Sus scrofa: one gene and its partner. The protein of the gene in region 1 interacts with the protein of each later gene in a biochemical or structural test. Links are inferred from orthologs where the notes say so. Each region holds a gene or a part of one and is shown on either strand. Other genes may lie near its edges.

Region 1 (3,733 bases):
TACGGCAAGCTGTTAAAATCAACATTTACCAAAATCATGCATTAATAATAAGATACAATTTTGTAAAGGATCACCAATAAACAGTACTTTGGCATCCTAGATAAAATTCAAAAAAGTAACAAAGACAAATAATAAGGAATGAGGAAGGAGTAAAGGAACCAAGAATCAATGCAACTACCCAGCTGAAAATGACAGCTACGATCACTTATATCTGTTTTGAAGCTGAGTTAAAAAAAAATTAGCTTAAACTGGAAGAGAACCTTCCTCGTTGTAAAAATTATTAAAACCAGGATAAATTTTTCATATAAAGTTAGGATGTCTTCCTCAGTAGAGCTCTCTAAATAAGTTTCTCCATCTATCTGGAATAGTTTGGAGTTTTTTTTCTTCTTGGAGGGAGAGAAATGAACAAAGTCCCTTTGTAAGAAATGTAAACATATTTTGCCATACTCGCTACCCAAAGAAATAAATCACTTGAAAATTACTATAAAAATTCTCCAATAGTTCACCTTTTGCTTCAAATATACTACACAAATTTGTTATTGATTTTAGCACAGTCTTTAGTCTTCTAAATAAGGGAAGAACCTTTAACTAATATTAATTATCATTACACATTTATAAATATTCATATCAAAGAATAATCTTTATGTATTATAAAAGTAAAGATCACACTTTATTAGGTAATAGCATCCAAGTCGTTATCCAAAGATACTTTATTCTCAAGCAAACTTCAGGAATATCAAGCTTACTTTTAATCAATGAGCTTTTTAAAATGTTTCACAAAGATTTCACTAGACCAAAAATGGAATACAGTTAATGGGTAAGATTTGCTAGCATCATATGAAAATACTAGTATGAACAAAAAGCTGAATGAATCAGTAATTTGCTCATATGAAAGTTAAGGTAGTACACTGATTTCAATGTTTAGAGGAAAGAAACAAGGGTTACCAACTAGCTTTCTGTTTTCTAGTAAATTCTCAGACCTAAGAAGAAGGATGAAAAAAAAACCAAATATAACTTACCTTTTTGTCTCTGGTCCTTACTTCCCCATAGAAATCTAGGGCCTCTTGTGCCTTTAAAAATTTACCCCGATGTAACAAATATGCACAAATCATTACACCAGTTCGTCCCTTTCCAGCTTTACAGTGAATTGCTGCAACATGATTGTCATCTTCACTTAGCCATTGGTCAAGATCTTCACAAAAAGGTTTGATAAGTTCTAGCTGTGGTGGATTATGGTCTTCGAAAGGATACTGTGCAACTGTGGAAAAAGATAACCTCAGAATAAAAAAATCTCTCCTGAGTTGCTAATTAAAAGTAGGTTAACTTTTGAAATCTTGCATATAAATTCAATAGAGATTTTAAATAAAAACTGAACTCCAGGGAAAAATTGTCTGATAATTTTCAAATAGAAAATAGAAATAATCTCCTGTTAACTCAAATTTCCCCATTAGATAGGGAGGCCAAGTATCATTTTCCCCACTTTATGAAGGAGGAAACTTTGCAATAGAGTAGCAATGTATCAGAGGTCACAACGTATCAGAAATGGAGGTAAACTCAAAATGAAATGTCACATGAGCCCTTCTTATCAGGGCTTACCATATATTTTCTAACAAAAGGAGTTGCAGTACTTATAATATTGGATCATTACAAAATGTATGTTTCAAAGAAAGTATAGTTCACTAATAAATCAACAATGGAAAAGATAGCAATTTGTGCTTCATACAATAAAAATGCCAAGCATGTTATTTTAAAGATGGTCTTGCTAATAGTGCTGTATACACATGACTTTAAAAGTATTTACAAAAGAAACTGGGGAAAAAAAAAACCTATTTAAAAAATGTATAAAATCATAGTAAAGTTTATTAAAGGAAGTTTCAGGTTTTTTCACATGAGTTATAAGAACCCCAAACTTCTCTGTTCCCTATAATTGGAGTAGAGGGTTTTTGCTTGTTTGTTTAATTCTCCAAAAATAGGACTTTAAATATATCACTATTAAATTTTATCTATTGGTCTCTGCCTAGATTCCACTCTATAAAGTCCCGACATTCATGTACTTAATTATCCTCTGCATCATCTAAATATGTAAAAAATATGTCTTTTATATCAAGCAAGTCATTTACAATGTGGTACAAGGTACGCTCAATTAAGCCTTTGGTGTGACAGAACAGTTCTTCACAGAGTCATCAGGACAGCTTTTACTTAGTCATCTGCCTACCATCTTTGGTTCCCCAATGGCATACAAAAACATCCAGGTAAACCTGTTAAACATCTATTTAAAGCTAGCTAAATCTCTATTAAAAGACTATTTGATTATTATGCAGTAGCCTAAATTCACTAAAAATGAAACATTCTATCCTGGCTCTCAGCTAAAGCACTTCTTAATTCTCAAAACAAGTGCTGGAATGTCCATTCTAGTTATTTAAGAAGGATCAATGACAAATATATCAATCGGTAGCTCATGGTACCCAATTCTCTTTTTGACTTCATTGGCACCCTGTCCAAGCTTTTCGATTCTCTGGGTCTTTCATGGTGCAAAGGGTCCCCACAAATACAAATGAAAGTTGTTGTGGGCTCTGAGACAGAATTTACTATACCTGGAGAAGAACTCATTTAAAGCAGCTCCTTCTCTCATCTATCGGGCTCCTCTTATCCATATTTTATTACACCCTTTTCCACCATTTAGGTCATGTTCCTCAATAGAGTTAAGTTTTTCTGCTTTCTTTCTACCTGTAATCTCTTACTATTTACACCAAATGCCTCAAACTATAGATATAACCCTCTCCTTATTCTACTGTTGGTCTAAGAACTTCTCCCTATTTTCAGTCTACTCTAAATTTTAGTCTTCCTTGTACTACTACCAGCAGGTTTATATGATATTTGTTTCCAAAACCACAACAGTAAAATTTTTCAAATTTTCTAGGACTATCTTTAAAAAAAGTTTATTTGTTACTTTACAGCCAAACCTGAGGCATATCGAAGTTCCTGGGCCAGGAATTGAATCTGAGCTGCAGCTGTGACCTACACCAGATGCTTTAACCCACTGCACTGGGCTGGGGACTGAACCCACACCTAGGCAGTGACCCAAGATGCTGCAATTAGATTCTTAACCCACTGTGCCACAGCAGGAACTCCCTCTAAGACCATCTTTAAGATAAATATCTCACTTGATAATTGAGATTATTCATTATTGCAATGACAGCAAGATTGAGACTACTGGCCTCAAGTTATCTAACATAAAAGAGTGTATTTATACCTACCTCTGCAGTTAAATTTGGCGGTATCATAATGTCTTTCAGCACATCTAAAAGAAAAGTTTAAATGGGATATAAAGTTATTTTCTTCACTTGAGGAAAAAAAAGGTATAACAGTAACAAACATTTTATGGACCTTTATAGAATACTGGGCATTATGTTAAACGTCTTATTTCTTTTAATTCTAAGAATCCTTAGAAAGTAGGTAAGTAGGTACTGTTATTATCCACATTTTACAATTAAGGAAATAGAAGCTTAAAATGTTAAATGTAAGCAATCATAGTTTATACGTTTGCTCACAAAAGTGTGATGTCACTAATACATAACACTGCAAATTCAGCTATATCTTTACTTTCACATTTCTTTATGAAAACTGTACATGCTAATGAACTTTTTGATTTCACAAGTATGTGTAAACAACTAGTTTCAATTTTATCTTTGCTTCATAACTGAGCATATACAGTTTTATCAAACTATTATTT
Region 2 (4,199 bases), on another chromosome or scaffold:
CAGAATCTGGTGCTATCTCCGTAGAGCCATGAGGGTTTGATCTCTGGTCTGAGAACTTCCATATGCCACTGGTGCAGCAAAAAAAAAAAAAAAAAAAAAGGAATATAGAACATCCAGTGGTAAACAAGTGAATTCAGGATCATCTAACAATCTGGACACTTAATGCCTTTTTGTTCTTACTACTTACTTTTTTTTTTTTTTTTTTTTTTTTTTTTTGCTTTTTAGGACCATACTCAAGGCATAAAGAAGTTCGCAGGCTGGAGCAGAATCAGCTGCAGCTGCTGGCCTATGACAAAGCAACACCAGATCTTTAACCCTCTGATCTAGGCCAGGCATGGAACCTGCGTCCTCATGGTTACCAGTCAGGCTCGGTACCACTGAGCCAGAACAGGAACTCCCTGTCTTTACCGTTTGAAAATGGAAACTTCACCATAATTCAAAATCTTTTAGACACGTTTCCCATGTACTATTAAACCACCAACATCCTTAAAAAAGAACCATGGGGGAGTTACCAATGTGGCACAGGGGGTTAAGAAGTGACTGCAGAGGCTCTGGTCTAGGTGTAGACAGACACTCCAAGCCTTCCTCAACCTCTGATGTCGATGAACACTCACATTTAACAGTGAGGAGTGTAAACACACTTCCTTCCTTGCACATTAGGAGAAAATTCCGACTAGCAACCCCAGATGCCCAAGGAAGCCCAGTTGGATTCCCAGCCCCTCCTTCTTCTCATGAGAAGTCAAGATTTCCTAGGCTCAGGCCAAAAGCATTATCAGGATGACACCTATAAGGTAGCCAATTTTAGCGATAACTAAAAATAAACACTTTAAGTAAATCTCATCTCAGTAAAAGCTGTTACAAAAAAGCAAACAAGATACAACAAAACTATTTACAGCCAGACTCCCATCTGTTAAGATCAGGAACTGTACTGTGTTATCTCTTGCACATCCAGAATACAACGTACAAAGTAGGGCATAATAACCCAATTTACTGATTACTTGTGCTGACAATGTAAGAGAAACTACTAAAATTTGAATTATCATGTCAACTGCTGCTTTTGAAAGCACTCCATTAACCCTGTCTCATGGTAGAAATTTAAGTCCTTCAGAATCTAAGACAGTTCAGGAGTTCCTGTCGTGGCTCAGTGGTTAACGAATCCGACTAGGAACCATGAGGCTGCTGGTTCGATCCCTGGCCTTGCTCAGTGGGTTAGGGATCCAGCGTTGCTATGAGCTGTGGTGTAGGCTGCAGATGCAGCTCAGATCTGGCGTTGCTGTAGCTGTGGTGTAGGTCGGCAGCTGTAGTTTCAATTAGACTCCTAGCATGGGAATCTCCATATGCCGAGGGAGCGGCCCAAGAAATGGCAAAAAAAAAAGTTTATTTTGTTCCATATACTTTACCAAAATTTACTTATTTTTACCTTCAAGTTACAATGTGATCTCTATGTTTCCCCTCCAAAAACATTACCTAAAATGTTTTGGGAGTTTTTTGTTTTTTACTTTTTAAGGCTGAACCTGAGACATAAGGATGTAAATTCTCAGCTAGGAGTTGAATCCGGGCTACATTCACGACTCTGCCAGCCGCAGCAAGGCAGGATCCAAGCCGCATCTGCGACCTACACCAGAGCTCACGTCAATGCCAGATCCTTAACCCACTGAGCAGGCCAGGGATCAAATTCACATCTTCTTGGATACTAGGGCGGTTGGTTTTCATTGAGCCACAACGGGAACTCCTGCAAATTCTTCCCTGTGACATCCACAGGTCCTCTCCTGTCCAGGCCTTGGCTACATGTCCTTGATCAGTGTTAAAGCAGGCACATGAGATTCTTCCTGCTAAAGCATCCAACATTTGAGATACTCCACTGTCTATTCCCACCAGCAGCGAACAAGATACATACGGAAGAGTACTGTTTCACTACAGCCAAGTGCCCACACTTGCTTGGCACTGTAGGTTCCAATTAAGAGAAAACTGAAATTCAATGCAAGGATAAACCAGTCACACCTAAGGGCCTGAATTTGGATCCAAGCCCATCTTCCTAGCCCAGGACTCCAACTAAAGGCTGGCTCAATTGCTCCATATAACACCTCCGGTCGTTGAGCTAGCCTACAAGGAAGAGCAGAGCTCTGCACCTCATCCTACCCCTGCGGGATCACATACACACCTTCAAAAAGACGCCGCGGGTCTTTCTCATCCAGCGTCAGGAGTTCCCGGGCAGCCTTGCGGATCTTGGCCAGAGTAAATTTGACCCTCCAGACCTCACGTTTGTTCCGGAGCCCATATTCGCCTGCAAAAAAACGGGCAAATGGGCTCAGTCCCACGGACTGGTGAAAACGTTAAGCCTGGTGGCTTACAGGATCACAAGACTGGTCCGTCTGGGGAAGGGGACACACCACAGGACTTGAAAATAATGAACGAGTGGGTAGCCTCCCCCACGTGTTAGCCTTCTCAGGCCCGAAAAGCAGAAACCTTGCCTTACGTACTAACCGATCAGCTTCAGCTCTTGGTCGAGGCGAGACTTCTCGAAGGGTCTCCGAGGGGTCACATAAGTCTTGCGACAAACCCAACTCCGAGCAACCGGCATGCTGGCGCTGCTCGCCCGTCTGCGCCTGTGCGGGAAAGAGTGGCTCGTGAGGCCTCCGCGCAGCGCCTGCGCAGTCCCACAACCACGCTAAGATCTCATGGCGGCCACGGAAGATCTCGTGAGACTCTCCCCTGAAGCTTTTACAAGCAGCATCATCGCCACTACTTTCCAACCACCCTCTTTTCATCTCCAACTTCTTTAGCGTACTCATTAAAACTCGAATGGCCCACGAAACCTTACAACCCACACCTGGACTAAAGAGCACCCCAGCACGCCTCACCCACAGACTCCCGGACGGAAAAAGAGGCGCACGCGCCCGCCGGCCACGGTCTTATAGCAACGTTGCCGTCTGCTGACGTCAGCGCGCACAGCGTAAGCCTGCACCAATCAGAAAAGGCGTTGGCGAGCGGAAAAAAGCAGTCGAAACGAAAGGTTGTGCCAGAGCGGCACACTGAACTGGGAGGACCTTGTCTCCGACGGGAGGTGGGAGTACCGTCCCTTGAGAAATGAAAGCTCCTCTCCGCCCCTGGGGGGGTGATTTAAATCCTGTCAGCTAGCCAACGAGTCGCCGTATAAAGTTGGAGACGTTACCGCCACCACCATTAAACTACAGCCGGCTCTAACTCTGTGAAAAGATCCACAGAGAGCTGCGCGAAGCAAAAGCTCCTGCCAAGAAACGCTCTCACATCCATGAATGATGAAAACAGTCTTGTCAGAGTTCCCATCGTGGCTCAGCGGGTTAAGAACCCGACTATGCTTCGTGAGGATGCGGGTTCCACCCCGGGCCTCGATCAGGGGGTTAAGAATCGCGCGTTGCCGCAAGCCCCCGGGTAGGTGGCAGATGCGGCTGGAGGACTCAGTCTGGCTGAGGGGTAGGCCGGCACCCGCTGTTCTGATGGGACCTTTAGCCTGGGAACTTACACACGCCGCTAGTGCGCCGGTAAAAAGAAAAAAAAAAAAAAAAAAAAAAATCACTTCGTATCTGAATACTGTCAACCCGAAGCATAGCCAGAAACCAGCCTGCCCTTTTGAACTCTGGCTACAAACCTGTCTGAGGATTGAAGGCAGAAATTGAGGATTCAGGGAGTTCCTGTTGTGGCTCAGGTGAAATGAACCCAACTAGTATCCATGAGGATGCGGGTTCAATCCCTGGCCTCGCTCAGTGAGTTAAGGATCCTGAGTTGTAGTGAGCTGTGGTGTAGGTCGCAGACGCGGCTTGAATCCTCCATTGCTGTGGCTGTGGCGTAGCCAGCAGCTGCAGCTCCGACTGGGCCCCTAGCTTGGGAACTTCCATATGCTGCAAGGTGCAACCCTTAAAAAAGAAGCAAAAGAAAAAGAAATTGAGGATTCAGAGAAGTCGCAGTTGCCTAGGGATACGCAGTTCTGATAGGCAAAGGATACACTCTTACATCCTGATAGGATTCCGCTTTTGCCCTCTTTGCTTTTTAGGGACAATGGGGGAAACGATCTTGGTAGAAATTGGGCCATACCTGGAATATTTAGCAGCTAGTGTCTCTGGCTACATGCCTCCCTCAGCATGGGCCTCATTAATTCATTTCTGTAACAGATACTGATTAAGCAGTGTAAGGAACTGTTTCACATGATGGCGCATAGCCAC

Evidence for each region.
Region 2: the proteins of PTEN (region 1) and RPS9 form a complex in vitro, tested with the Homo sapiens proteins (2 studies listed by BioGRID). The link is inferred for Sus scrofa from reciprocal best matches to the Homo sapiens genes PTEN and RPS9.

Annotation. Positions count from the first base shown.
Region 1 is NC_010456.5:99,991,916-99,995,648, reverse strand, and holds part of PTEN (phosphatidylinositol 3,4,5-trisphosphate 3-phosphatase and dual-specificity protein phosphatase PTEN), read right to left. Parts: intron 3,302-3,733; coding exon 3,258-3,301; intron 1,259-3,257; coding exon 1,020-1,258; intron 1-1,019. UniProt on the Homo sapiens protein: Dual-specificity protein phosphatase, dephosphorylating tyrosine-, serine- and threonine-phosphorylated proteins.
Region 2 is NC_010448.4:55,924,325-55,928,523, forward strand, and holds the start of RPS9 (40S ribosomal protein S9), read right to left. Parts: upstream 2,957-4,199; 5' UTR 2,862-2,956; exon of another isoform or gene 2,831-2,861; intron 2,607-2,830; 5' UTR 2,582-2,606; coding exon 2,485-2,581; intron 2,285-2,484; coding exon 2,162-2,284; intron 1-2,161. UniProt on the Homo sapiens protein: Component of the small ribosomal subunit. The ribosome is a large ribonucleoprotein complex responsible for the synthesis of proteins in the cell. Part of the small subunit (SSU) processome, first precursor of the small eukaryotic ribosomal subunit.